Notamacropus eugenii: one gene and its partners. The protein of the gene in region 2 interacts with the protein of the main gene of each other region in a pairwise test. Links are inferred from orthologs where the notes say so. Each region holds a gene or a part of one and is shown on either strand. Other genes may lie near its edges. The genes, in order: TFAP4, EXOSC8, SLAIN1 and POLDIP3.

Region 1 (7,774 bases), on a different chromosome or scaffold from region 2:
GCATAAGGGACAGTATCAGTAAATAATTGGCGGTGGGGCTTGGATATGATTCTCATGGGCACCCTGAGGGGTAGAGTTGGTCCTCTGATAGATTCAGGAAGGCTTCTTGAAGCACTAAGTCCAAGAAATATTTAAGGAAATGGAGAATGAAACTGTTTAAGATATAGGTGACCATGATGGTATTCCTGCCCCTGAGAAATTAATGGGATGGAAGAATTAGCAGGTGTGCCTGGGGCAAAGGTCTAGGAATTGGTTTGGGAAAGAGCATAAAAAGCTCAGATATGATAACATCACGAGGTGTAGAACTGAAAGGGACTTTAGAAGTTGCAAGCCTAGCTAGCCCCCACCTCATTATGACTTGGCCACAGTTTCTGCTTATCTCTTTGCTTCCAGTCTGGCCTCCCCCCCCAACCCTCCTCCACATGCTGACCAGATGATGTTTCTAAAGTGCAAGTCTGACCATTATTCCTCTTCTCTAAAGAAATTCCAGGGGGAATGGAAGAATTCCATTTTGACTCTAGAATAAATACAAACGCTGCAGCTTGACATTGAAAACCTTTCACAATCTGACTCCAACCTACTTTTAAAATAATAATAATAACTAACATTTATATAGCACCTACTATGTGCCAGGCATTGTGCTAAGCAAGTGCTTTAGCACTTAGAAAACTGAGGGAAACAGAAGTTAAGTGACTTGCCTAGGGCCACTCAGCTAAGTAACTAAGTAAACACTCATATAGTAAGTATTTAAGGTCAGATTTGAAATCAAGTCTTGAGTATTTAATCTGTTTCTGAACGTTTTTCTCCTTAAATGAACTCACCTTATGTTTCAGACAAACTAATTTAATGCTGTTTCTCATATTTTGCAATCTGTCTTCCTCTTCCATGTCTTTGCATACCCTCTATGCATTCTTGGAATGCACTCCTTAATACTTTTACTTCTTAGAATACTTAGCTTCTTTCGAGACTCAGTAGCTAGTGAGTTCTCTGTCCTCAAATTCTATTTACATGTTGTATTCCATCCCTATTCATCTAATGTAAGTTTCTTCGGGGAAGAAACCTTTTATTTTCCGACCATATACTTAAGTTCGAGAGATAACTAGTCAAACTTCCCCTGCTTTTACAGATGAGGAAATTGAGACACAGTGTAGGAATGTGATTTGGCTCATCTCACAGGTGGGTAATAGTAGAGTTAGGATATGAGCCCAGGTCATCTGACCCTAAAACCAGTGCTCCTTCCTTTACACATTTCCTCTCTATATTTAGAATGAGGTTCCTAACTTTTTTTAGTCTCTGTATTCTTTGGCTTTCAGTAACCAATTCCCCCATTCACTATGAAAATAATTCATTCTTAAATTTACCATTGACATGCATATAAGAAATAAAGGTTACAATTTTTGGATTTTTTAAGAATAAATTTTGGTTGGTGTCTTTTGTCTTTACACACCTAAATCCATCCCCCCATCCCTCCAGAAAGCCATTTTTAAAGAGAGAACATTTTCTAAAAACAAAAAGAAAGAGGAGGGGGAAAAAAACTCAGTGAAACCTATCAATACATAAAAACAATCTGAAAAGATTTCACAGCTGTGGACCTCTCACCTCTGTAAAGTAGTGCATGGCGGGTGGTGATGAAAACATCTCCTATCTCCTCTTTGCAGCCATGTTTGTTCTTTTGTCACTTTGTAACACTTACTTCAATTTTTTGGTGGTGGTTATTCTTTCTGTTTACATTGTTGTACTTGGTTGGAAATCGATTCAAGAAAATCAAATCAAAACATTTCCTAACATCTTTGACAAGCTTCTCATATCCCAGCTTGGGAACTCCTGGTTCAAAGCCAAATTAGAGCTTTCAAGGTGGAGTTGGTTTGGTCAAAACAATGGGAGATGACAACTTGAGCAATAGTGGTGAACACAGCCTAGAGGAGGCTGAATCCAATGAGGATGAGGTTGCTACAGTCTAAGTAACAAATGACAAATCACTTAGATTAGGACAGTGGCTGTAAGGATACTAGGGAGGGGAATAGGCTTGGGCAGTGGGAAAAAACAATTCTCACTAAAGTACCTCCTCTCTTCCACCTGCCAATTTTAACCTAGAGGTCAAGGCCTAAATCAAGATTCCTACTTCACTTCTATTCCATCCCAGAGTGATCTCTCTTTGATGATCTCTTAGTAAAATGCCTAGCACATAGTAGGTGCTGTATAAATGTTTATTGATTGACCGATGAACCTCCCACAGCACCTGTCTGGCATTTAACCATGTACTATCCCAGAATTACCATTAAACTGTTTACTGAGTATACTGTTGGGTTAATGAGACCACGAACTCCACAAGGTCTTGTATTTTTCTTTCAAGTCCCCTAGTGTTGTACTGATTGAAGTGCTGTCCCAAACTTTAGGACAATATGGGAACATCCTTGTCAGGGATGTTACAGAGAGAAAGAAATGAGAAGGGTCACTTACTGGCTGAGACAGAAAGGAAGGAGAGGGGAAAATAGCATCAGGTCTGCCCTAGAATTTGGTTATTAACAAAATTCTTTATCCTCTACTTAACATGCCAGGAGTGCTACCTGAGGTAGGGAGGTCAAGATTATTTTGGATCAGGAAATAGCTTCAGGGGAGTTAGAGCATATCTCTCTTTTTCTCTCTCCTCCCATTCCCTCTTTCCCCCTCCCATTATTTAAAGTTTTTTTAAATTCTGCCTCCTCTGTGAAGCCTCCTTAGATTGACCAGAGGTCAAAGGATTGCTGCCCTTTTTCTCCCTGGCCAAATTGGGGATGGAATTCCCAGAGACTCTTCTTGTCCCCTACCAATTATCACGGTGATTATGATTTATGTTATTCATAACATCACATTTTACTTCGAAACTGGGCACTGTGTGAACTTCAGCACTATGGTCCACAATCCATTCTTTTACTCCTATCAGTACCTGGAAAGTTTGCTGCTCCACAGTGAAGGTAATGGACTAAGCTGTCCAGATGCTCAGTCCATCATCATGTTTCCAAGACTTCAAGGCCTTAGAGAGGCCAGGTTAGCTCACTCCAGTGACTTCAACTCGATAAACATTTTTGAAGTGCTCAGCACTTGCTGAGGGGGGCACAAGAGAAAGGCATATTTCCTGCCCTCCTTGGACTTGAAATCTTACTAGGGAGATCAAACTGGGAGGGGAGGGATTAGAAAGCAATTTTAAGGCAACATCTATAGAAGTGTGAAATAACTTGGGGCAACCTGTATATTAAATTTCAAGGAGGTAGATTTTAGGTTAAACCATGAAAGTATGCAAAAGGGGGATTACGCAGCATTTAAAGTCGTAGAAGTGAGTAGATATATTCCTGGGTACAATCTGGACCTGGCCCCAACACATCATCGGACATTCCTTTTCGTCTCCAACGCTATAATCCAAACTGGCCTCTCTTTTTCTCACTTTGGACACTCCAACTTCCATCATCTCAGTGCCTGCACACCGGCTGTCCTTCACGCCCGGAACTGACTCTCTCCTTTATCGCTGCCTCTGAGTCGCTCTCTGCCTTAAAAATTCAGCTCAGGAACCATCTGCTGGAACCCTTTAGTGGTGTCCTCCAACATCTAGTGCCCTCCCCCAATAATAGCTTGTTTAAAAAAGACATCTTTTTTTAAGCTTAGTATTTATGCTGCAGAAATTTTATATGTATTTGTCTTCCCCATTCACATATAAGGTCTTTGAAAGTAAGGAGCGATACAGTTCTTGGTATTTGTATCTGAAGTGCCTAGTACACACAATGCCTGGCACATAGGAGGCACCAATATCAATATCTGTTGATTGATTATTCCTGAATAGAGCACACGGTTAATGTTGAAATACTGGGGGGGGGGGGGGGGAGAGGAGGGGAAGAATTTCAATTGCTTACTATAGAACAAACGGGATTCCTCCCTCCTTCTCTCTTTCTACAGATCCGCCGCACAGACATAGGTCTCTAACTTGACTGGATCAGTCTTAGAACTTCCTAATGGAACGCCAGGTTTCTCCCACTTGTATGAATGAAGGGCCACCCACGCAGGAGAAAGCCCGACACAGCACCCAGGATGTGTGAGAAATGAGGCTGCGTGTGTGTGTGTCGGGGCATACTGGGCAGCTTTCTCCTCACCAGGGACATTGCTGGTCTGCTACCTCCCACCACTCCCTCATTTCCCTGCTCATTCCCGTCTTGTCTGTCCAGCTCGGGGCCCAGCTTCCTCGTGGATAGGCTCGGAATTCAAAGCCACGCTGCCCCTTTCCCGTGCTCAGAAGCTCCCTTCTCCCAGCTGCAAGGCTGGGATTCCCAGGGCAGCAGCCGCAGAGGCAGCGGCGGCGCAGGTAGCGCCCGGAGCCGCGGCAGGGGAGGAGTTCTGGTGGCAAAGCCAGCCAGCAGGCTGGGACAGTCGGCCGGCCTCTGAAGTAAGCCCCGAAGTTCCATGTGGGAAGTGGTAGTTGTGTGACGCAAGTTTCCAGGGGGCTCTCCACTCCGAGGGAGCTCTCGGGAGCGGGCTGGACTCGGTGCAAAGTGAAAAGAAGTGGAAAACAGCCCAGCACACTACGCATCCGGAGCTTGCTTCCTCGCTACCGCTGCTGCTGCTTGCTGCAGAGCAAGGACCAACCTCTAATCCCCTTTCTCCTCCTCTCCTCCCTACCACGCCGTGGGCTGGGGGTGCAGAGCTGCACGCACGCCCCTCCAGCACCTAGGGCAGGGTCGGGGCCGGACTCCCGGGGGCGCGCTGCGTTTCTCTCAGTGGCTGGGGTGGGTTTTTTTTTTTTTTGCAACGCTTGCCAACCTGTCAGCTGATGGACCTCATCACCCATAGTGGCGCATGAAGCTCAGACAGTTTGCTTCATTCACACAGTCCCTTCCCAGCCCGCCCACCGCACCCCCCAGCCCCCTGGGCGGAAAAGAAGTAGTGCGGGCCCCTAGCCAAAGGCTATCCCCAGGGTTCCGCTCCCCTCTCGCCCCAGTCTCCCGCCGGCCCGGGGGGGCGCTGCAAATAGTCCTTTGTTTACATGCAATTCCTTACTCCGCGGAAGGAGGCCGGGGGAGTGCTGAGTTTTCACCAGCTGTTTCCCGCCTTGAAACAGACATCTGATCAGCTGCAAACACACATACACACACACTCACACACACGGACGGGGAGGCAGGCCGGAGAGACCTCCCCCTCCCTCCCTCTCCCTCCCCCCCCTTGCCGCCAGCATCTGGGACCGGGAGAGCCAGCACCTCCGACGCTGCCCTTTGATTCGGATTTCCATTTTGCATTCTCCAGCGGATCGGGACCAAGGACTTGGCTTTTGCAGAGGAGGGGGGGGCCGATCGCTATGGAGTATTTCATGGTGCCCGCTCAGAAGGTGCCCTCTTTGCAACATTTCAGGAAAACAGAGAAAGAAGTGATAGGAGGGCTCTGTAGGTGTGTACCGCTCCCCCTCCCTTTTTTTTTTCCCTAATGCAACCCCTGGCCAGCCTGCCCTCGGCGCATGTGTGTGCATGGCATGGCACCGGCCCGACTCCTTTCTTAGGCGCCGCCGGGAGCTGAGGGGCTGCTGCACCGCGTGCGGAGGCTCGCAGGGGCTTCTCCTCTGGAGCGCCGGGACCCCAGGCAGCCCCTAAGTGCGCCCCAGCTACTTTTGTCTGGTGCAGGAGAGCGAGTCGCGACGTTTGTAAATTGCAAACAGACCCACGTGGTTCTGCAGCAGTCCCGGCCATGCTGGTCGCTTTCTCCCCCTCTTCCTCCTCCTCCCCCTCTCCCGCGGCGGCTTCCTTTCCCTCCTCCCCTTCACTCTGGCTCTTGCTTGGTGCTGAGAAAGGCTTTTTTTTTTTTTTTTTTTGCGGGGGGAGGGGGGAGGGACAGGACTCCGCGGGGTGCTGGCTTGCGGGGCTGGGGCGTGCACGGGGCCAGGTTGCAGGCGACGGTAGTTACAATGCAGCCATGCTGCTCCTCCGGGCTGCTCTGGTCGGGTGGGGGTGGGGAAAGGGGGGAGGCGATGTGCGTGTTTGCAAACAGCCGGGTAGGAAGGGGGGGGTGTCCCTTGCTGTCGGTGTGTGGTGTGTGCGGTGCGTGTGCGCGCGCGTGGGTGGCGTGTGCGTGTGGGTTCGGGGCCAGCCGGACGCTTTTGGAACGAGCCGCCCGGGACAGGGCCGCCGGTGACCCCTGGGCACGTTGGGGGCGGCTCACCAGCGCTGGGGCGCTGTTTACCAGCGAGGCCTGGACGTGACTCTGCAGCCCTCTTGGAGTAGGCGGATCTCCGCCCGCCGTCTCCTGGGAGATGTAGTTCTCGCGGGCCCCTCGTGTGCGGGATTGTGGGAGCTGTAGGCGCTGCCCGGGCCACGCTTTCCATGCACAAAGCATGGTCCACGCGGGCGGGGGAGGGGCAGGGAGCTCGGGACGGGACGGATTTACCGCGAGTTGCGGGGTAGGCCCACCTCCCCCCCCTCCCCGCCCCTGGTCTGGGGCCACTTTCCCCCCTCTTGCCGCCGGTTTCGTTCTGTCCCTTTCCACGTGCGTCTCTGCTACAAACTCCAGACAGCACGTCCGCCAAGCCCAGGCAGAAACTGAAAGAATTTCGTGTCCAAGCCCTCGCTGCTTGGGTAGGGTTGGCCCTTACTACCCAGCAGGGACTTTAACTTCGTGCGAATGGTTTGGGGGTGTTGGGCAGCCCCCCCCCCCCGCCCCAATAGGCTCTATGACTGGCAAACGCCATGTATCTGGGCAGGCGGCTGCTACTTAGGAGCAGCCGAACCCCTCCCCCGAAAAAACGCCCCCAGACTCTCGGGACGTATTGGGATAAATTGACTGACCAGGACTTTCAAGGGACACGACAAGTGGGACTCCGTCTATTTCCTCACTTGTTTATGCTCAGTAGGGAGAATTTTCTGGAGTCTTCTGCCCTTGCACACCCAGACCCCCACCAATTTACCTGCGCAGAGTCGGAGTTGGAACCCCTCCTAGATTTCCCTCCTGGGAGTAGGGTAGTGGAGAGGTGCCCTGGTAGAGACTGGAACTCTTGGCTTACAGAACTAAGACTAGATTGGCTCATTGGGGGGAAAGGGAAGGGGTCTCCTGTTGAGAGCAGAAAGAATGAGAGAATTTTAATCAGTTCTTAGCCTTGGATCTTCACTTTAAGTTCACAGCCAGGATCGGTAGATTCTTCCCATTCATACTGTCTGTCCAGTTCTGCTGATCACATAACCAAAAAGTAAAATAAAGGGCTTGAAACCAGATAGTCTCTCAGGTGTCAGGGCTAGTGTCATGACATAACTTTCCCTAGGATTGACATTGGGGATGTAGAGAAAACCCTTATAGTGTAATGGAAATAGCTGTGGACTTAAGACCTCTTAATATGTTGTTTGACCTTGGCAATTTTATTTTATTTCTCTCCAAGCCTCAGTTTCTTTAGCTGTGTTGTTCAGTCTCATCCTATTCTTTGTGACCCCATTTGGGGTTGTCTTGGCAGAGATTTTGGTGTGCTTTGCCATTTCCTTCCCCAGCTCGTTTTATAGATGAGGAAACTGAGGCAAAGAAGGTTAAGTAACTCCTCCAGGTCACACAGTTAGTACTTAAGTGTCAGGTCAGATTTATATTCCCAAAGATGAATCTTCCTGCTTCCAGGACCTGTACTCTTTCTACTTTGCCACCTGGCTGCCCCCTTATCTGTGAAATAGTGATAGAAACCTTTGAACTACCTACTTTACAAGTTTAAAGAAATGTATGAAAAGTGTAAGTTTGTTGTTCGTATGAATAAACCTGATGCCGTCCTTCAGACAATTTACCTATGAAA
Region 2 (7,121 bases):
TAACACACTACTATGTAAACTATTTTATTTTGACTAGCTTAGGTTTTCCATTATGTTCCATACAAAGTAAATGCCTGAAAATAAAATATTTTTTATGATTTCATGTTACCAACAGGCTTATCCTAGGAATCTTAGTTTCTCAAATAATTTTTAAAATCTGAAAAATTAAAAATGAATTCCAATTTTGATGCATCCAAAGAATAATCATATCACAATTCGTGTGTCATTACTGAACTTTTGTTTCTCTGGCCTGTGTTACAACCATTATTAATCCTTAAATTGCTCTTTGGAAATAAAAATAAGAGCCTGATAAAAATGCTACTGGATTTTCCAGTCTACTGCAGTGTTAGAGACATTCATTATCATCTAAATAAGAGAAATGAGAAGCCTCATGGCAAAAGGATAATGAGCTTCCCTGGTAGTAAGGAAAACCTAGGTTTAAGTCCAGCATCTGACACATCCTCTATGTCATGCTGGCCACTACGTAACCTGTCAGTGTCCCAGGTAAGTCTCCAAGACTCCATCTGTATTAGTAGAGAGAGTATCCTCACCAGGAGCTCCCTACACTGGTGAAATCAAAGGTCTGGTTAAAAAAAAATGATCAGTGAAACTAATCTGGTAACTTTTTTAGATGATTAAATGAAAAAGAGACCTACCGCTTTAACTCCACAAATTACTGTTGTATTTCCCAACTTCACTAAAGCAGAACCATCTGCAGTAGTAATTGAACCTGATATTTAACAGATTAAAAAACTTATTAGAAAAAAAATTTCAAAAGTCATCTTACCAGTAATTATTACCAGGTTTAACAGTTTTGTCCATTTGATTAAAAACTCATCATGGCTTTACGTGTATTTGGAGGTTCTGGTCAAGTCAGTGAAATTTTGCTTCTAGTTTGCCTCATCAGTCAGCGGACAAAATCTAATTCTATCTAAAGTCAAGTCCAATTCAACAAACATTTATACTGTGCCAGGTGCTGGAATATAAAGACAAAACCCAAACAATTCCTGTCCTTGAGAGACCTGTATTCTTTGAGGGGGTACAACTAGTATACTGATAAGTACAATAAGAGGAAATTTGAGTAGAAGGAGTATCAGAAAGGATGTACAGAAGGCAGCACCTGAGAAGAGCTGAGATAAGGAAGGAATGCATTCCTAGCAGGAGAAGCAACACACAAAAAACACAGAGATAGAATGTAGAGATTGAGGAACAACTAGTAGGCCAGTTTGGCTGGACTATGAAATTGTGTAAAGGTCAATAATATGAAAGAAGACTGGAACAGTAAAGAGAGTCAAGACTAAAGGGCTTTAAGTGCCATGATGAAGAGTCTGCATTTATACCAGAGGCAACAGGGAGCCACCAAACGTTTCTGAACAAAGAAGTGCCAAGTTTATTACAGATAAATGATATACTTACACAGATTAACACAATCAAGTGATTATCCTAAAGTAAATTTCATTACAAAATGTTTTGAATCCTTTGCTTTATTAGATTTGATTGCTGCATATTGCTGGAAACAAACTGGGACTTACTAATATTCCATATAGAAATTTTTATTGTAGCTACATTTGTTAAAATAAGATTTGGTTTATTATTCATAAGAGAACCATGATTCCAATTTATTCCATTACTCCATCTAGCTTTTCATAAATGACTCATATACTTAAGCCTGTGTCAACAATTTATGACACGCATACAGGAACAAAATCTTTTGGTTAAAAAAAAAAGCATTTCCAAAAAAAAAAACCACCAGAAGAATTTATCAGCAGTACAGAACAAGCGCTACATAGAAAGTTGGTTTGGTGTTGGAGCACTTACGTTTCTTTTCAGGACGCTGAATATTCTTACCTATATTGACAGTAGTGGTCCTGAACTCCCCCAGCTCCCTTCCATCTGGACGGCAGTTCTCTTTCTAAATAAACAAACACGATTCCCATATACTTTCCTTAATCATACCGCAGGCATATCATTCCCTCATTCATGCTTCTCCATCATGTCGTGTGAACCCCGCAAAGGCCTCCCTGAAATCTCATGTGAACTTTACAGTGACGTAACAAGGTGCTCTACCGTTAAGCCCGGATGACCTTGGCCAGGCACTTGACCTAGGCCTCAGTTTCCTCATCTGAAAAACGGGGGGACTGAACTAGATGACCGGCCTCCTCCACTTCCAAAGTTCTAGATGTACCCCGTTGCTTTTACTTACCAAAAATCTCCTATAATACTCCAGTGGTTCGACTGTTCTGAAATGATTGAAAATACAATTTATTTTTAAAGATTCACAAGCACACTAAAGCCAACACTGTGTTTCAAATTCTCTTTCTGACGTTGTAACAAAAGGTGTCTAAATCTGTGGATCCCTCACATGGATTCACGCTACGTCCTTAGCGTCACAAAATGCTCTTGGCTCGCACGGGGTCCTCCCGGCGCCAGCTTGGCTTCTTTAAACGTCTAGTTTTATTTAGGGCTGGGCTTTTTAACTGTGGCAAAGACGCGGCTCGGGTCAGCCTCTGTGCGCAGACCACGCGGCCGGCCCATCGGGGATCCGACGGCAACGAGCACGGAGGCTCCGGAAAGAAAGCGCGGTCTGGACCCGCCTGGAGCTTCCTGCCCCCCGCGCAGCCCGCCCCGGCCCGGGCACTGGGAGACTGGCCCGCCTCCCCTCAGGTCAGAGGCGCAGAGGTTACCCTGCGCAGCCGAGGGCCCTGAAACCCGACCGGCTCCCCGACGTGCCACTCGGGGGAGTGGAAGCGGGGCCCACGGGCCGGGGATCCCAGGGCGCAGAAGGCCCAGCCCGGCCCGCTCGGGCAGGCCGCGGGGCTCGGCTCTCCTTCTGAGGCCGCAGACGCCCCCGGCGTCTTTCCCTCGCTCCCCGCACCCCTCCCGGCGGAGTCCCCCGGGGAGACTCACTTGAATCCAGCCGCCATGTTCTACGCGTCCCACGTGTTTCCCGGCGGCGGGAGCCCGCCCTCCTCCGCCGCCGGCGCCCGCTCCGCCTCCGCACATTCGACACGAAACCCGGCCGCTCTGCCTGCGCTGGGACGGAGACGGTTCGGGAGGCGACCACGACCAGCTCCTGGCTTGGTGGCCTGACCCTGAGCGAAGCGGTAGCATCTCTCGTGTTTTCCTTTGATTTCGAATTTTAGCGAATCTCCATTTGGGGAAGTGAAGAACACGGCTCGGGGACGTCCGGTTACGGGGCATCTCCCGGCGCTGCCCCTTCGGGGTTCGTGGGGAGCGGTGCGCTCCGGGCCGTGCTTTGCCCGGACGCCCAGCGCGGGCACCGCGGGCAAGTTTTGAACACGTGTTTCCTAAAGTTTGCAGACGACAGATGGGGGGCCCGCTGCAGCCGTCCGTCTGGCCACGTCACCCTGCGCGGCTGCCCCCCAAGTTCCTCCCCTTCTTTCGAGGAAGACGGGGAAGCTTTCTTCACCCAGACGTGTGTCGCGCGCGAGCACGGGAGAGAGTGGCCTGCCAGCACCGAGGGGGCACCTGCCGCCCACGGGGTGACTGCGAGCACCGGCACGGTTTTGGTTTTCTTGTTTTTACAGGTAATCCATTATACACTGTATAAAAGCACCACTTAATATACTCAATTCCTTGGGAGATGGACCAAAATATCCATCTCTCGGAGATATCGCCCCGGGGAGTGAGACGAAGTACGGCCGGGACTGGCTTTAGGCTCCTGGAGCCAGGTCTGACCGAAAAATGGGACGATCCCTTTTCCCTCCAGGAACTTAGTATCTTAAAAAAGAGCCAACAAATCCAAGCCCAGGAGGAGCTCTGAGCTAAGACCATCTAGGACCGGAAACGCTGATGGTGGGCGGGGCAAGAGGCTCGGACTGCCCATGCGCGGTGGGAGCCAGCCTGTCAAAGCGAGGCACATTGCCGACAGGCGGCGCTGTGGGAGCGGGTCGGGAAGCGGGTCTAGGCCAGGCGTCTCTCCCGACGCTGGAGGCGGGGCGCGGCTGCGGGCCGTAGCGGCCGAACTGTCGGCGCTTCCGCTTAGGTGTAGGTGCGGGATAGGGCCAGATCCAGCGAAGCTGCGGGCCCTGGGGATGGAGGATGGTGCCCTTCGTGGAGCAGCCGGCGGTGCTCTTCTTGGTGTTGGTGCCCACGGTGCTGATCCTGGTGAGGAGGGGGAGGGATCCAGGACTCCGGCCCGGCGGGCCCGCCTTCCCCGAGGACGATTCCCCTCCCGGGCTCCAGGCCCTGGCAGCCCTGCCCAGGATCTCCGACCCAAACCCCTGTCTCCAGCCCTCTCAGCCTTGCGAGCAACCCCACTCTCTAGTCCTCACCCTTGGCCCTAGACTTAGAACTGGAAGGGACCATTTTACAGATGGGGAAACTGAGGCCTGGCGAGAAAGTCACTTCAGACTCAAAGTCATTAATTTTCAGACGCAACTTCTCTGCCTCCAAATCGGTGCCCTTTAGACCCCACCTTCCTGCCTCTCTTCTCTCCAGACTAATTAGCACACCCTCTGTTCTGGATCCTGTGACCCTGAGATGTTTCCTCTTCATTTCTTGGGCCGCATGCTCCAGTCTTTGTCCGCATTGCCTAGGAAAAGTGATGGCAGGACAGTGCCAGAAGTAGCTCCTTAGTAATAACTGAAGGGGAGATGAATAAGTCAATGAACGAATGAACGTAAGAAAAAGCTCTCCTGTGCTAGGTAATGTGCTAAGAGGAATGAATGAATGAATGTGTGAATAAATGAAGATAATCCCAATTGGAAGAAAGAAGAGGTAGGGGTGCATTTAGACTATCCCATATGTTTAGAAGGAAGGAGAGAAAAATGAGTTTTAATTTGGACATGCGGAGTTTGGTATCCCCTTATAAAGACCCCCGATCTCATTGTTATAAACTGTTATAAGGAGTTTATTCTTGTACTTTCCACTCTGGTAGAATAGATACTTCTAATAAATTATGAATAATTTTAAAAGGAAATTTTGGCTAATGTCTGTAATAGATGGTACTGAAATGAATCTTTCTAAAGAGTAATACTCTAGGCAGTGTGTTTAGTAAATGCTGAGTCCATTTAGTAAATGCACTTCTCAGTTCTCCACTTCCAGTGTAACTGGAAAAGGTCCTCACTAGATGAAGCAATGTACATAATTATTATCTCAGTATCTTGGGACTTGTATCTGGGTAAGAGATGAATTCTAACAGATCATTTTGTCAAATTGGGCAGTATTAATTTTTTTCCGGTAACTTAAAAGGCATACCTGTTTGGAGCTATGAAGAATCCAGCATTTGCCCCACTCCTCAAATTGAAGTCATCACACATTGAAGAATTATCAACAACATTTATTTATGAAACATCTTATGTACTATGTATGCTATGTCCTAAGAAAACACAGAGGGAGAAAATCATCTTTAATAATCTGCAATAGAAAAGCCAAGGTATTGCCTCAGCTACTGACATCTAGGGAAACACTACTTTTTCCTTCCTCAGTTCTTGCTAGACCTGTTACTTCTGAGAAAGGGACATAGGAAAACATTAAAGGAGCAGAGATTGGTTACAGAAGAGGAGGGATCTGTCTTCCCTTTCTCCTGCTGCTAGGGATCCTCCTGTTGGTGGCTGAGAAAAGCAGGTGGACCCAGGAGAAGGCAAGGGAGTAGGACTGCTAGTCTTGGGGGAGATGATACGGCAGATACCTGTGAGCACACGCACACTGGACTGGTCCAGACTAGATGCCCCAGAAGCATGTTAATCTTGATAGGTCTAAAACTGAACTCGATATCCTTCCTCATAAAGATTTCTTTCTTCCAGTCTTCCTTATTTAGGTTAAAGGTTCCATCCTTGTGGTTTCTCAGCTTCATAATCTTGGCATTATACTTTCCCCTTACTTGCCTTGACCCCACAAATATCCAGTCACTTGCCAAACTTGCCTTTTCTGCCTTTACAACATATCTCACATCTGACTCCTTCACTCACACAGCCATCACCTTCAGTTTTCCCTAGATATCTTCTCATGTTGCTTCTATGTTGTGCTGTGCACCAAAACCTAGCTCTCTCTGTAAGATGCTGGATTTTCTGACTTTTTTTCCAAATCTGGCTACTTATATGTCACAACCCCAAACATACAAGACCAGGAGGAAGAATTGGCATATTTCTTGCTCCCTAGTATTCTCTCTGCCACTGTCACTCAACAGCCAACTCTTTTTCCTTTAAGGCTCATTGTGTTATCCTTATGACTGAAATCTCTGGAACTCCAAGACATTCTTTCTTCTCCCTAATAAGTTCAGTGCCTGGCTTATAGACCTCTTCATCCCAGCCTAGCCTCACATGACTTCCCAGTTCTTCTGATTCAGCTCCCATGATCTGTCTCCGGCTTACTTCAGCGATACACAGGAGTGTTCATACTTTAGCTTAATTTACTCCAGTTCAAGAATCTCTAATTATGGCTTTCCTATCAAGGAGCTTATATTCAATTGGAAACTTACATTCAGTCCATATAATGAGTTGTGTGAATTAAAGTGGATAAACTTTAAAGCTGTACAAACAGTATTTTACATTTGGGCCATTATTTCTTGATCAAATGAATCTAGACAAAGATAATTAATTGATTCAGCAAAACAACTGTTCTGTGTATATCATCATGGTAGGTGCTGGGGTTGTGGTCTAAAAGCTCAGTCATGGATCACTGGTTACCAGAGAAACAAGGCAGCAGCATACACAGTGGAAAGACCATCTGGGTTCAGATTTCACTTTTGATACTTGGCAAGTCACTTAGCATCCTTAGGCTTCAGGAACTTAGACTAAATGGTCTAGGTACCACTAGATGGAAGTGGAGGTGAGACTACATTCCAGACTGTGAGGGGATATTGTGTACAAAGACATGGAGATGGAATTGGAATGTTATGTATGAGGAGCAGCTAGTAGGCCAGTTTTGCTACATAGTACAGTACATAAGTAGAAATTATATGAGGAAATATAGTCTGAAGTCAAATGAATGGCATTAAATGCTAAGCTGAGGAGTTTACATTTTAATCTAAGGCAATAAATAACTATTGAAGAATCTTGAGTAGGAAAGTGATACAGTCAGATCTGTGTTTTAGGAACATTATTTTGGAAATAAATGTGGAGGGTGAATTGAATAAGAGAAAGACAGAAACCAGGAAT
Region 3 (6,849 bases), on a different chromosome or scaffold from region 2:
TTTTAATTTTGGGTGAAAATAAGATTTAAATTGCAAAATGCTTAGAGTTCATTTGGTGTTTCATGAACTGAACCACTTGCACAGATATCAAATAGAGAAGTTTTGTGGAGACTTGTGAATATTTTAAGCTTCCATACACTTAAGACTTAATACTAAGTGATTTTTTTTTTCTTTCTTATGTTATTTGGGACTTTCACACAAAAGGACAGAAAGAAAGCCGCTTAAAGGGTAGTAATTAGGAAAAGAAAAGGGAAATGACTTAAGTTGTCTTTTAGGGGCAGGCAATGGAAGCAGATGCTTAACGTGCAAAAAAAGAGTCAATATTAAAAGTGTCCCTTTCTAAAAATGCATATTTTTAGTGCCACAAATTCTGTCCTCTGTAGAATGTGCAAGGGGGAGAGGGGGATGGGGGGAGTTTCCTGTCATAGTCAAGTTGTGAGTTTCTGAGAAGCAAATATTTTAGGGTACAGTTAACACACCAGGTGTTACCATTTTAAACCTTGCCTAGGGCAAACAAATGTTTTGTCAATGTAGGCTCTGCCCTACTTAGTCTCTTCCCCTAGATTAGAGCTGGTGAGCTTTCTTATTATTTCCTCTTTCACTGAATTTTAAAAATGCAATCTAGGCAATACTGTGAAAATAGGAAAAGAATCAAGACTTATCTTGAAAAATGAAGTTGACAAATTCAAAAGTATAACCAGTGACCAAAATAAATTTTCATTCCCCTGTTATTTAGGTGACAGTGATGTTAATTTTCCCTAGGAAAATATGTCACAACCTCCCTGGGTCACATTTTACTGATGAGGAAAGTGAGGGGGCTGAACCAGATGTGATCTGAGGTCCCTTTCAAATCTTGAACCAGGACCCTGTTTAAACCATGCCTGACCTTGGTCATCAATTGAGAATCCACTAATTAGAAATTCTCAGAACTTTAATTAAAAGCCTTTTGCAAAAGGCTATTGCTGTTGAAAAGGACAAAGCAAAGAGGTAAAGAATTTCCAATTGAATTTAAAAGTAAAAAACAAAGTCCACAGCTCCTTGCTCGAATGTCTACCTAGCACACACATGCTTAGGACTCCCTAGTTATGTCCACGTTTCTGACATCCACAATAGAGGAGAAAGCCAGTGAAGTCAGCAATTTTGCAAGGCAAGTCAGAATTTCAAAAGGAGATCTGCAAGAACAAAATATCAATGGAAATGCAGCAACTGAAAATGTATGACTGCACCAACTCAGATCTCCCAGATCGAAGCCAAATAAATAAACTGTTCCTCATATAGGAGCAAAAAGGGAATATTAGCAGGCAAATGTAGTACATGGGAGTGGAGGACAGGAGAGAATCCAGATAACAGGATGATTCCGCTTTTCTAATGGGTAAAGGTAATACTGACAGAAAAGTAGATTTAGACAGCAGCCAAACAAGATCATATGGATTTTCCAGTTAATGCTAATAAGGAGTCTGGGATCCAGCAACTCTAGCAAAAGTAGGATTAAAAGGCAAGCCGGTGTGGCTGGCCAGTTCAGCACTTAGACTCTTCAGCAGGAGGCATAGCAGCAAAAAAAAGTGGGGGGGGGGGGGGGTCCCAGCGATTCAGGAAAAGAGCCTCCTTTGGTCCCTCCAGGGAATGAAAACTAATCGTGCCCGCTCCAGGAGAGCCAGGAGCCCTGGCGTGACACAAGCTGTTTGCACCTGTCATTGCCACCATTTCCTGTATCTGCGGGGAGGAGGCGACAAAGTTGCCTTCAGGGTTTCAGAGGAAGAGGGAGGAAGGAGCTGAAAAGGAAGGGCCAGGCCGTAAGAGCCCAGAGGGGGCACCTTTCAGCCCTCTGCCTCCCACAGGACACCTAGGATCCTCACAGACACCCCCTTCCCGCGGGGCCAGGGCAACTGGACACGCTCCAGGGATGAGGCTAGGAGAGGGGCACAAAGGCTGGAATAGTAAAAGGAGGGAGAAGGACTGGGAAAGGTTCGACCATACCAAGTATACTCGTCCTCCAGCTGGCTGCAGAAGCCGTTCTCCAGGTCCAGCAGCTCCACTTCATCCAGCAGGGTCGGGGCAGGGGAGGCCGGGGCCGACGAGCCCCCCGGCTCCTGCCCCCCACCCCCTCCGCCTTCTCCCGGCCCCGGGAAGCCGGCGGGGGATGGTTTGAAGTAGACGAAGGGGGGCTCGGGCTGGGCCAGGCTGCACAGCAGGGTCGGGGCCGGGCTGGGGAGGCAGTAGGTCCCGGGGAAAGCCGGGCTGCCGCCGCCGCTGCCCCCGCTGCCCCCGCTGCCCAGGGCCAGCGCCAATCCCCCCGCGGAGCCCGCGGCCGGGGGGCTCAGGGGGCTTCCAGCGGCGGGCGGCACGGTGGCGGTCAGAGCGCCGGCCGGCGCGGACAGCGGCGGCGGGAGCAGCAGCAGGTGCGAGCCGGGGGCGGCGGCGGCCGAGGGTAAGGCTGAGGCTGAGCCGGAGGAGGAGGAGGCGGCGGCGGCCGCGGCAGCGCTGGCCGCGCGGCTCCGCAGCTGCTCGTTCTGCTTCTCCAGCTTGCGCACCAGCTCCTGCAGCTTCTTCACCTCCAGCTCCGCGTTCACCACGCTCCCGGAGCCGGCTCCGGGGCCGCCCCCTCCCGGGGAGCACTTCACCTGCTCCGCCATCATCTGCGGCGCCGGCGGCTTCAGCAGAGCCGCCTCCATCCTCCGCTCCCGGACCCTGGAACCGAGGCCGGGGCCGCCGTCCCCGCGAGCCGGGGCTGTCGCTGCCTCTGCCGCCGCTGCCTCTGCCGCTGCCGCCGCCGCCGCTCCTCCCTTCCTCCCGCCTGCCGGAGCCCGGCCGCCAGCACCGCGGGTGCCCAGAGCCAGCCCCCTGAGGGCATCAGCCACCTGCCCCGGCCGGAGCGAGCGAGCGCGAGCCAGCGAGCGAGCGGCCGGCAGCCACCAAGTTCTTCTGCACATGCTCACTGGAGCCCCCTCCGGTCCCACAGGGCTTTCAAGAGCAGGGCTCCGCGGCTCCGGGTTTTTGCGGGGGCCTGGTGGGGGTGGGGGCGTGGCGTGGACGTGGGAGCGGTTGGGGGATGCGCTTTGATGAGAGGGAACTGTGAACTGTGAAAGGGCGGTGCCGGATCCCCAGCTAGGGGTCTGGGTGGCGAGAACGGAAACCAGCCCTCCCTTAGCTCTGCCCAGGTGCCTAGCTAAGGGAGCGGTCTTTGTAGACTGTGAAAAGTTTCCCGTCTTATTCACCCTGACCATGGACAGAGCCCGCCTGGTGGGCGCGCATTGTTTCCAAAGTGCTGGGCGAGGAGACGTCAAAGTACCTTAGGAGGCGCGCTGTAGAAAGAGAACAAGCACTCAGGCTCCAGGTGGGCTGTGGGCTTATTCATCACCCACTGCTGAGAAAAAATCTGTGGTTGTGAATACCAGGGTTAATTCACAGCCCTTAGAGCACACGCTAAACTGATTCGAAAAGCTGTCAGGCACTGCAACGCAGACACACAAAATGTAGGAAGATTTAAATCCAATTCACACAAGGGAAGAGATCACCCCGTGATGTCATTCGTCCTCTTCGAAAAGGAAGAATGAACAGTAACAATGGTTTGCAAAGCTTTTCTCAGAACCAAAATTTGCTCCTTGGAAGGGATCTCAAAGGTCATACAGGAAAGGAAGCACCACTGTGTGATGGGGTTCAGACTCCGGCAGCCTCCTTGAGCTCCCCTTGAATCTTCCCACTTAATCTGGCCTTGCTTACTCAAATCTAATCTTCCCATTTGTTCCCGAAGTCTCTGGAAGCCCATGGGTTTTTCATTAACACTCTGGTCAGGTCTCTGTTGCATTCCCCCACCCTTGATCCCATCAAAACCCCATTACCCAGGCTGCTGACCACTCCCATCGAGATCTGTTTTCATTCCCATACAGCCTCTCTCAAGATCTCTGGATTGCCCCACCTGCTTCCCACCCAAACCCTCCGAGGTCTGATATCTCCTGAAAGTTTCCTGATAGCCTTTGACCCTCCTGGGATTCAGTCCTTGGACTTCTCCTCAAGACCCTCCCTAAACCCCTCCTCTCATCATCCTGGACTACCAGACCCCCACCCCCCCAGATGCCTCCTATAGTCTTTTCTGTATTTATTTCCATCTCCCTTGATGAAGGTGCTCAGATGCAATGTAGCTCAGATTCTGTCTAGCTGAGATTCTGTCTGGCCCACTTGTGAATAGGGGAGTTACAAATGCTTAGGATCCTTAAGAGCCAACCCAATTTGGCAAATCTTTAAGAATCTTTAATAAACTTTGTTTTCTTTGGCTTTAGGAAGGCTTGAGTCTAATTCATTCCAGCACAACCTGGACTGTGGGTATTTTGGTGTCCCCATCACACCTAAACCTCATCAGTCGCAGTGTTGCTTTTCCTTTTTTTTTTTTTTTTTGAAACTTATTGACCCTAGTGGCAAATACTGTTTCACAGGTTTTCATGGGCCTTCCTGGGCCACACCAGGCCAGGTGGGAACCTCCCTCCATCTTCAGCAAAGGTGTTAAAGGCCTTTCTACAAGGTACAAAGCAACTTTGAGGTCATCACTTTCTTATTTTACCTAGGTGATATCTGAGGACCCAGGAGACTGGACTGGAGACAACATGTGAGCAGGGAAGAAAGAAGACCTGATAAACCCAGGAAGAGATAATTAAGAGAGACTTCAATGGGGGAGACAGCATTTGGGTTGAGTTGGGGCAGGAAGAAGTAGGAATTTAAGAGGAGTCTGACAGACCCATAGGATAGGTGAGATCTTGGAAAGAGAGAGAGAGAGAGCAGGATCCAAGGTCAGCCCCAGCCCAACAGGTGCAAGGATTTCAGGGAAGGACCAGGAATCCAGACAACATTTTAATCTTTCCCATCATAGAACATCAGTGGGGCAGAAATGGGGACAAGGTCCCTGGACTCTTTCTTCAGGCCCCACTAGTCCAGGGTGGCCTTGAACTTGCACAATATGCAGGTATTGGGAGAGTCCACAAAGCCTTGTCCAGCCTTCTTGGAATACACACGTTTCCCACCAAACTTACCTCAAATAAGCAGGTGATCTTGAGGGTCCCCTCACCGTTAATGTTCAGGAGGCCTGAGGAATTCCTCCTCTAGTTTCTTCTTCAGCAAAAGATACTTGGGTTTGTAACCTCAGGCCCCACAGTAAACCACATGAATTTAGATGGCAGTGGTTGAAGCCCTGGCTTTGTCCCTGAACCACTAGACTGCAGCAGCAAGATAGAATACTGGTCCTACCCTCATTCCAAATTCTGGAATCTAGTCCTAAATTTCTACTACCTGGATTTGTTCAAAACTGAACTCTTCCCCTCTTCCCCTCCCCTCTAACAAATTTCCCTATTTCTGTTGAAGGTATCATGTTTCAGGGATCTTAGGTCTTCTAGCTTCCACATTACCCTCTACTGTTTGCTCATTTTCCTTCACCCAAATAATTTGCTAAATCTTGCACCTTCTATAGGCATATCTCTTGAATTCAAACACTATCCTCTACTCATACAGCTTCCCCCTTGGTTTCTGGTCCTCTTCACCTATTACTTACATTATTACAACAGTTTCCTAACTGTAAAGTAATATTTAGGGACTTCTAACAATTTGAGCATGTCACTCTCCTATTCAATCACCTCCTGTGCTTTCCTATTTTCCAGTAGGATGAACTACTCAGATACATGGCCTTATCACTGTTCCTCACACCATGCTTCCTTCAATTTCCACTGGTTATATTCCACAGGCTTCTTGCCTCTACCTCCTTGAGTCCCTCTCTCTTCAAGACTCAGCTTAAGGGACAATCTTTTGCACAAACCTACACCTGATTAACCCAGCTGTTGGTACTCTCCTTTCCAAGCTATCTCCTATTTAATTACTTTTTGTGTAGTTAAATAGGGTGCTTACATAATCTGAGCTAAACTTAAAACTTAAATCATTTAAGACTGCACTAAGACTTTAGAATGTAATCTCCTTGTAAGTAGAGATTGTTTTATTCCTTGTGCTGGAGTTGTGGCAACTAGCACAGTACTTGGTAGTTAATAAGTGCTTAATAAATATATTTATGAATGTGTATATATATATATATATATATATATATATATATATATATATATATATACATATGTTCATATGTATATGTAGATATGTCTTCTTATGTTATTGATCAATATCCCAGTTTCCAATGCAATGAATTTTGGAAGTGTATCCATAAACAAATAAACAAACGAGGGAAATTTTAATATAAACAAAAGTATGAGCCTGGTGTGATATCTGCCCTTGACCATCCCCTTCTATCTACCTTCACCTCTCAGAAACTAAGACCTAACCCAGCACTCCCCCTTTTTTGAGTTTCAATATATCTCCAGTCTCCTCTGGATGTCACTAAAACCTGGAAAAGTGGAGTCCCTCAAGTGGAAGTCCTAAGTAAAGGGTCTATGGAAGGATTCTTCGCATGCTCAGTAGCAGATGCGGGTAAGCAGTATTCCTGTTACACAAAGAAGGAAAGAGACCGGCACAATGGGAACAAAGAGATACCCAGCTCCACATTAGCAAAAGAAATAAAGAAAAGGCACATCCAAATGCAAGAATAAGAATGATGTGATAAAGAAATGCAGCCATCTTACACCAGAATTCACACTCCTAAGGATGAAATAAAGATGAATAGGCCCCTCCCCCATTTTTCCGATTATGGCATATAGGATACAGCCAAGCAACCAGTAGTCAATATTTTCTATTGTGTCTTCTAAGGACTGGTTTTTACTAATATGATTGTAATTGAAGAGCTCTAGAATCATGTATTGTTTTCAAAATAGCAATAATAATAAGGCACTAATCAAAGGTTTTTCTGGCTCAAAAAAAAACCTATAG
Region 4 (7,078 bases), on a different chromosome or scaffold from region 2:
GGACAGCCACTCAGGACTGAGACGCAGATCAGCTGCTCGATTCCCCCAGGGTCTTTAGGCTAAGGGTTCCAAAAATGGATGCTGCTGGGGCCAGATAGCACTCCCCTCTCACCCAGGTGAAAGAGCTTCCTTACTGACCTTTGAAGTTGTCTTTGGTGTTTGTGAGTTGAGAAGCTGGGAATTGCAGCTGCTACTCATGATTCCAGGCCCTGAAGCCTGCTCCAGTCCTGTCCTTGCTGTGCAGCCTGGACTGGGCTACGATCTGTTTTGAGCCTGGTGCGATAGAGCTTTCCTGTTGGCCTTCCAGGCTGTCTTAGGCTGGAAATCTGTTTCACTCTGTCATTGTGTGGCTTCTGCTGCTCTAAAATTTATTTAGTCATTTTTTTACAGGTATTTTATGGGTTATGGAGGGGAGAGCTAGAGTAGGTTCATCCTTCTACTGAGCCATTCTGGCTTTGCCCCAGGGAAACTGAACTCTTAAGCTTCTTTTAATTAAAGTGTTTTAGTACACAATTTGTTATTGTTCAGTCATGTCTGACTCTTCATGACTCCATAGCCCCTACTCTCTGTGGGGTTTTCTTGGCCAAAATACTGGAATGGTTTGCCATTTCCTTCTCCAGTGCATTAAGGCAGAGAGGTTAAGTGACTTGCCCAGGGTCACACCACTAGTAAGTGTCTGAGGCCAGTTTGGAACTCAGGTCTTTCTGACTCTAGGCCCAGTGTTCTATCCATTGAGCCACCAGGCTGCCCTTAATTGGGAAACTGAACCTGAAAACAATTTAGAGTGGAGGACGGAACTTCTGAGCCTGTAAATTTCCTAAGTGAACTTGAAGACAAGGGAAGGTGACTAGGCAGCTTCACAAAACGTTGGTGGTGGTACAGACTTTAATCAATTACAAAATAGAATCGGAATCAACTTGATTTTCTCAACAGAAAAGGAGTTTGTACTAGAACAGGCTGTGAAGTCCTTTAGAAATGGGGAGGGCGAAAGTCTGTTATTCCTGTCACCCTCAAAACTCTCCAGGAAGAGCTGGTTCAAACCATGCCTCAACCTGAAAGGGCCGCACAGTCCCTGGACAGTCACCATCACTCAGAGCCTCATCTATAAAATGGTCTCAACCTGTCACCTCCAAGGGGCAGGGACCCAGGATTTCACTGACATGGGCAACTCCTAGATAAAGACCCTTCCTCTAACCAATGCAGGTAGTGGGTACAGAGAGCTGGCATCAACCACACAGGCCCACAACACTCCTCAGTGAGGTAGGAACCAGACCAAAATGGGACTGGGAAACATTTAACAAAATAAATAAAAAGGAAATAAAACATAGAAAATATGACATTCTGAAACTAGGTCAACGTACGACCTGCGAATAGCAGGGTGTCTCTCTCGCCCAGAGAGCAGGGGGCGAGTAGCCCAGGGTCACGCAGGCCCATGCTCAAAAGTCTGCAGGGAGAGAGTGAATGTTCTGAACAAGGTCAAGTTATCGATAAGGCTAGTAACTACCAACAAAGGGGTCTTTAGCTCCTCCACGAGAATCCCTTTTAGGGACAAAAGCTAGAAGGCAGCATTATACATGGGAAAATGACAGGACTGGCACAACCCCTGGTCCTTAAGCAATGCTGACTTAAGCAATGCTTATGGAGCCCACCTGCATCCTGAAGGTTAACAGCTGACAAGTTAACAAGCCTCCTGAATTGTGCCTGGGCAGCAAGATGTGTAGGGTGCTGGGGGGTGCCACTGGTGCACAAGTGCCAGGCCAGGAGTCAGGAAGATGAGTCTTCCTGAGTTCAAATTTGGCCTCAGATGCTTACCAGCTGTGTGACCCTGGGCAAGTCACTTCACCCTGTTTCCCTCAGGTTCCTCATGAATGAGGAAATGAACTGGAGAAGGAAATGGCAAACCACTCCAGGATTTCTGCCAAAAAAACCCAAATGGTGCCTCGCAAGACATGACTGAACACTGAGCTGTGTGCAGATAAAAGAGTTCTCTGACTTAGGGTGACTGATGAGAGAACCTAGCTCGGAGAGGAAGGCTGAACTTCTGAAGCTGGAACAACTCAGACACAAAGAAAGGAACTGGGGAAGTTACACAAAATACGGGATAAACTACGACAATGACAAAAAGAGAATCAATTAAGAATGCCATCATTTCGATTTTCTCATTTTTAGTCATCACTGCAATCTCTAAATGCTCTAGAAATGTGGGCACTACTGCGCCCCTCCACTCCCCAGAAACGGGGGGCCGTGAGCACTACTGCGCCCCTCCACTCCCCAGAAACGGGGGGCCGTGAGCACTACTGCGCCCCTCCACTCCCCAGAAACGGGGGGCCGTGAGCACTACTGCGCCCCTCCACTCCCCAGAAACGGGGGGCCGTGAGCACTACTGCGCCCCTCCACTCCCCAGAAATGGGGGGCTGGGATTACTACGGCAACCCTCCACTTCACAGAAATGGGGGGCCCGTGATCCCCGTCGCATCCCTCCAAGCCACAGAAGGTGGTTAGCACTACGGAGACCCTCCCCTCGCCCCAGGCGCGGGGCCCGCCTCCCTCCCGGGCTCGGCAGCCTTTCCTCCACGACGCTCGCGCCCCGCCGCCCCGCCCTCCCCGGAGCCCAGGAATGAGCGGCGTCGCCGGCAGCCAATAGGCAGGTGAAGAGTGCGCGCGGCCGCGGCGACCCGACCAATGAGCAGCTGCGCTGGCGAGAGAGGGCGGGCCCTGGAAGGAGGGAGGGCCTGGCCCGGGCGGACCAGAGGGCCCGGAACACGGGGATGCCCCCGGCCACCCGACCCCCAGCCAGTGCCTCAATAGGCTCCGGGCCCCGGGTCCTAGCTCCGAAGCGGCGCCGAGGAGAGAGGCTCACTCACCGGCCCTTCACCGTCACCCCGCGCTTCCGGATGAGCTCGTCCAGGGACAGGTCCGCCATCTTGCGCCGCGGAAAACGAGAACAGGCGCCGCTCACGCACTCGGCGCTCCCCCGCCCATCGGTGCCGGAGAAGGGACGCAACTACTTCCGGTGCCCAGCTCCCGGTCCTTCCGCCAACGCACCAGATCTCGCGACACCCCGGAACGGGGAGGGGGCGGAGCGTGCGAGGCTGGAGGGCTACGTATCCCATGAACCCTTGCAATGACGACTTTCGATTTACATACAGAGAATGAAATGTTAAAGGGTCTTCTTTCTCCCCTTCATAAAAACTTTAAAATACGTAACGGAAGCTTATCAAACTGACGTGTAAGCAGTACAGTTTATGCTCAGTGTGATCAGCTGCTCCCGGACTCACCCCTAAGTGAAATAGGTCTGCGGACACCTCCCAGCCTCGCTTATGAAAACAGTACGGTTATGCCTTAAACTTATGAGTAAGGAAAATAACGATTCGGGTGACGCCCGAATCCTCACTACGCATGTGAGAAGAATTTTTGAGCGGGTACAGGTTGTCCCTAAGGTGACCCGCCTACTTTAGCGGGATGCCTGGGTGTAGCGATCTGCCCGTACCCCCATTTACTCTATGAAAAGCAGACTCTTCGGTGGGGTGTGGGGTTTTTTCTCTTTCCATCTCCGTTGTGGCGGCGTTTGGGATGTGGGGTTCGCTAGAACAACTTTTCTAGTCGCGGGAGAGGGGTACTTAAGTGATTACTGATTGTGTACCGTGCCAGGCTGTATGCCAGGCGTCGTACCGGGAGTTAGGGAGGGACAACCTTTCCTCTCTCTCACACCCGCGAAAGGACTTCAGTTTCTATGGCGGGAGGAAGGAGGGGGCGACAAACTCGGTGTCGGGGGAGTGAAGAAGGGCGGGCAGAGAACGGTCTCTGCGTCGAAAAACTCAGTGTTCAAGTCTAGTTTCCGACGTTGAAGCAGTTTCGTCGTGTGTGTTTGTGTGTGGGGGGTGAGAGAGAGGGAGGGGGGAGAGAATGAGAGACAGAGAGAGAGAGGAGGGAGGGGGAGGAGAGGGGAGGGGGGAGAGAATGAGAGATACACAGAGAGACTGGAGGGAGGGGGAGGAGGGGGGGGAGAGAATGAGAGACAGAGAGAGACTGGAGGGAGGGGGGAGGGGGGAGAGAATGAGAGACAGAGAGAGACTGGAGGGAGGGGGAGGAGGGGGGGAGAGAATGAGAGACAGAGAGAGACTGGAGGGAGGGGGGAGGGGGGAGAGAATGAGAGACAGAGAGATGGAGGGAGGGGGAGGAGGGGGGAGGGGGGAGAGAATGAGAGACACACAGAGAGACTGGAGGGAGGGGGGGAGGGGGGGAGAGAATGAGAGACAGAGAGAGACTGGAGGGAGGGGGAGGAGGGGGGGAGAGAATGAGAGACAGAGAGAGACTGGAGGGAGGGGGAGGAGAGGGGAGGGGGGAGAGAATGAGAGATACACAGAGAGACTGGAGGGAGGGGGAGGAGGGGGGGGAGAGAATGAGAGACAGAGAGAGACTGGAGGGAGGGGGGAGGGGGGAGAGAATGAGAGACAGAGAGAGACTGGAGGGAGGGGGAGGAGGGGGGGAGAGAATGAGAGACAGAGAGAGACTGGAGGGAGGGGGAGGAGGGGGGGAGAGAATGAGAGACAGAGAGAGAGAGGAGGGAGGGGGAGGAGAGGGGAGGGGGGAGAGAATGAGAGATACACAGAGAGACTGGAGGGAGGGGGAGGAGGGGGGGGAGAGAATGAGAGACAGAGAGAGACTGGAGGGAGGGGGGAGGGGGGAGAGAATGAGAGACAGAGAGAGACTGGAGGGAGGGGGAGGAGGGGGGGAGAGAATGAGAGACAGAGAGAGACTGGAGGGAGGGGGGAGGGGGGGAGAGAATGAGAGACAGAGAGAGACTGGAGGGAGGGGGAGGAGGGGGGAGGGGGGAGAGAATGAGAGACACACAGAGAGACTGGAGGGAGGGGGAGGAGGGGGGGAGAGAATGAGAGACAGAGAGAGACTGGAGGGAGGGGGAGGAGGGGGGGAGAGAATGAGAGACAGAGAGAGACTGGAGGGAGGGGGGAGGGGGGGAGAGAATGAGAGACAGAGAGAGACTGGAGGGAGGGGGAGGAGAGGGGAGGGGGGAGAGAATGAGAGACACACAGGGAGACTGGAGGGAGGGGGAGGAGAGGGGGGGAGAGAATGAGAGACACACAGAGAGACTGGAGGGAGGGGGAGGAGAGGGGGGGGAGAGAATGAGAGACACACAGAGAGACTGGAGGGAGGGGGAGGAGGGGGGGAGAGAATGAGAGACAGAGAGAGACTGGAGGGAGGGGGAGGAGGGGGGGGAGAGAATGAGAGACAGAGAGAGACTGGAGGGAGGGGGAGGAGAGGGGAGGGGGGAGAGGATGAGAGACACACAGAGAGACTGGAGGGAGGGGGGAGGGGGGAGAGAATGAGAGACAGAGAGAGACTGGAGGGAGGGGGAGGAGGGGGGGGAGAGAATGAGAGACAGAGAGAGACTGGAGGGAGGGGGAGGAGAGGGGAGGGGGGAGAGAATGAGAGATACACAGAGAGACTGGAGGGAGGGGGAGGAGGGGGGGGAGAGAATGAGAGACAGAGAGAGACTGGAGGGAGGGGGGAGGGGGGAGAGAATGAGAGACAGAGAGAGACTGGAGGGAGGGGGAGGAGGGGGGGAGAGAATGAGAGACAGAGAGAGACTGGAGGGAGGGGGAGGAGGGGGGGAGAGAATGAGAGACAGAGAGAGAGAGGAGGGAGGGGGAGGAGAGGGGAGGGGGGAGAGAATGAGAGATACACAGAGAGACTGGAGGGAGGGGGAGGAGGGGGGGGGAGAGAATGAGAGACAGAGAGAGACTGGAGGGAGGGGGGAGGGGGGAGAGAATGAGAGACAGAGAGAGACTGGAGGGAGGGGGAGGAGGGGGGGAGAGAATGAGAGACAGAGAGAGACTGGAGGGAGGGGGGAGGGGGGAGAGAATGAGAGACAGAGAGAGACTGGAGGGAGGGGGAGGAGGGGGGAGGGGGGAGAGAATGAGAGACAGAGAGAGACTGGAGGGAGGGGGAGGAGGGGGGGAGAGAATGAGAGACAGAGAGAGACTGGAGGGAGGGGGAGGAGAGGGGAGGGGGGAGAGAATGAGAGAAACACAGAGAGACTGGAGGGAGGGGGAGGAGAGGGGGGGAGAGAATGAGAGACACACAGAGAGACTGGAGGGAGGGGGAGGAGAGGGGGGGGAGAGAATGAGAGACACACAGAGAGACTGGAGGGAGGGGGAGGAGGGGGGGAGAGAATGAGAGACAGAGAGAGACTGGAGGGAGGGGGAGGAGGGGGGGAGAGAATGAGAGACAGAGAGAGACTGGAGGGAGGGGGAGGAGAGGGGAGGGGGGAGAGGATGAGAGACACACAGAGAGACTGGAGGGAGGGGGGAGGGGGGGAGAGAATGAGAGACAGAGAGAGACTGGAGGGAGGGGGAGGAGGGGGGGAGAGAATGAGAGACAGAGAGAGACTGGAGGGAGGGGGAGGAGAGGGGAGGGGGGAGAGAATGAGAGATACACAGAGAGACTGGAGGGAGGGGAGGAGGAGGGGGGGGAGAGAATGAGAGACAGAGAGAGACTGGAGGGAGGGGGGAGGGGGGAGAGAATGAGAGACAGAGAGAGACTGGAGGGAGGGGGAGGAGGGGGGGAGAGAATGAGAGACAGAGAGAGACTGGAGGGAGGGGGAGGAGGGGGGGAGAGAATGAGAGACAGAGAGAGAGAGGAGGGAGGGGGAGGAGAGGGGAGGGGGGAGAGAATGAGAGATACACAGAGAGACTGGAGGGAGGGGGAGGAGGGGGGGGAGAGAATGAGAGACAGAGAGAGACTGGAGGGAGGGGGGAGGGGGGAGAGAATGAGAGACAGAGAGAGACTGGAGGGAGGGGGAGGAGGGGGGGAGAGAATGAGAGACAGAGAGAGACTGGAGGGAGGGGGGAGGGGGGAGAGAATGAGAGACAGAGAGAGACTGGAGGGAGGGGGAGGAGGGGGGAGGGGGGAGAGAATGAGAGACACACAGAGAGACTGGAGGGAGGGGGGAGGGGGGAGAGAATGAGAGACAGAGAGAGACTGGAGGGAGGGGGAGGAGGGGGGGAGAGAATGAGAGACAGAGAGAGACTGGAGGGAGGGGGGAGGGGGGAGAGAA

Evidence for each region.
Region 1: the proteins of EXOSC8 (region 2) and TFAP4 interact in binary tests that used the Homo sapiens proteins (3 or more experiments, as listed by UniProt). The two-hybrid records come from large-scale screens. The link is inferred for Notamacropus eugenii from reciprocal best matches to the Homo sapiens genes EXOSC8 and TFAP4.
Region 3: the proteins of EXOSC8 (region 2) and SLAIN1 interact in binary tests that used the Homo sapiens proteins (3 or more experiments, as listed by UniProt). The link is inferred for Notamacropus eugenii from reciprocal best matches to the Homo sapiens genes EXOSC8 and SLAIN1.
Region 4: the proteins of EXOSC8 (region 2) and POLDIP3 interact in a two-hybrid assay, tested with the Homo sapiens proteins (2 studies listed by BioGRID). The link is inferred for Notamacropus eugenii from reciprocal best matches to the Homo sapiens genes EXOSC8 and POLDIP3.

What each region holds. Positions count from the first base shown.
Region 1 is NC_092872.1:58,665,086-58,672,859, reverse strand, and holds the start of TFAP4 (transcription factor AP-4), read left to right. Parts: upstream 1-4,761; 5' UTR 4,762-5,008; coding exon 5,009-5,406; intron 5,407-5,876; exon of another isoform or gene 5,877-5,908; intron 5,909-5,924; exon of another isoform or gene 5,925-6,332; coding exon of another isoform or gene 6,333-6,409; exon of another isoform or gene 6,410-6,584; intron 6,585-7,774.
Region 2 is NC_092876.1:98,499,226-98,506,346, reverse strand, and holds the start of EXOSC8 (exosome complex component RRP43), read right to left. Parts: upstream 3,002-7,121; 5' UTR 2,925-3,001; coding exon 2,908-2,924; intron 2,241-2,907; coding exon 2,204-2,240; intron 1,913-2,203; coding exon 1,819-1,912; intron 731-1,818; coding exon 657-730; intron 1-656. Other genes in the region: ALG5 (dolichyl-phosphate beta-glucosyltransferase), read left to right, coding at 4,063-4,128. UniProt on the Homo sapiens protein: Non-catalytic component of the RNA exosome complex which has 3'->5' exoribonuclease activity and participates in a multitude of cellular RNA processing and degradation events.
Region 3 is NC_092877.1:259,227,679-259,234,527, forward strand, and holds the start of SLAIN1 (SLAIN motif-containing protein 1), read right to left. Parts: upstream 3,004-6,849; 5' UTR 2,931-3,003; coding exon 1,978-2,930; intron 1-1,977. UniProt on the Homo sapiens protein: Microtubule plus-end tracking protein that might be involved in the regulation of cytoplasmic microtubule dynamics, microtubule organization and microtubule elongation.
Region 4 is NC_092874.1:301,431,024-301,438,101, forward strand, and holds the start of POLDIP3 (polymerase delta-interacting protein 3), read right to left. Parts: upstream 3,015-7,078; 5' UTR 2,924-3,014; coding exon 2,865-2,923; intron 1-2,864. UniProt on the Homo sapiens protein: Is involved in regulation of translation. Is preferentially associated with CBC-bound spliced mRNA-protein complexes during the pioneer round of mRNA translation. Contributes to enhanced translational efficiency of spliced over nonspliced mRNAs.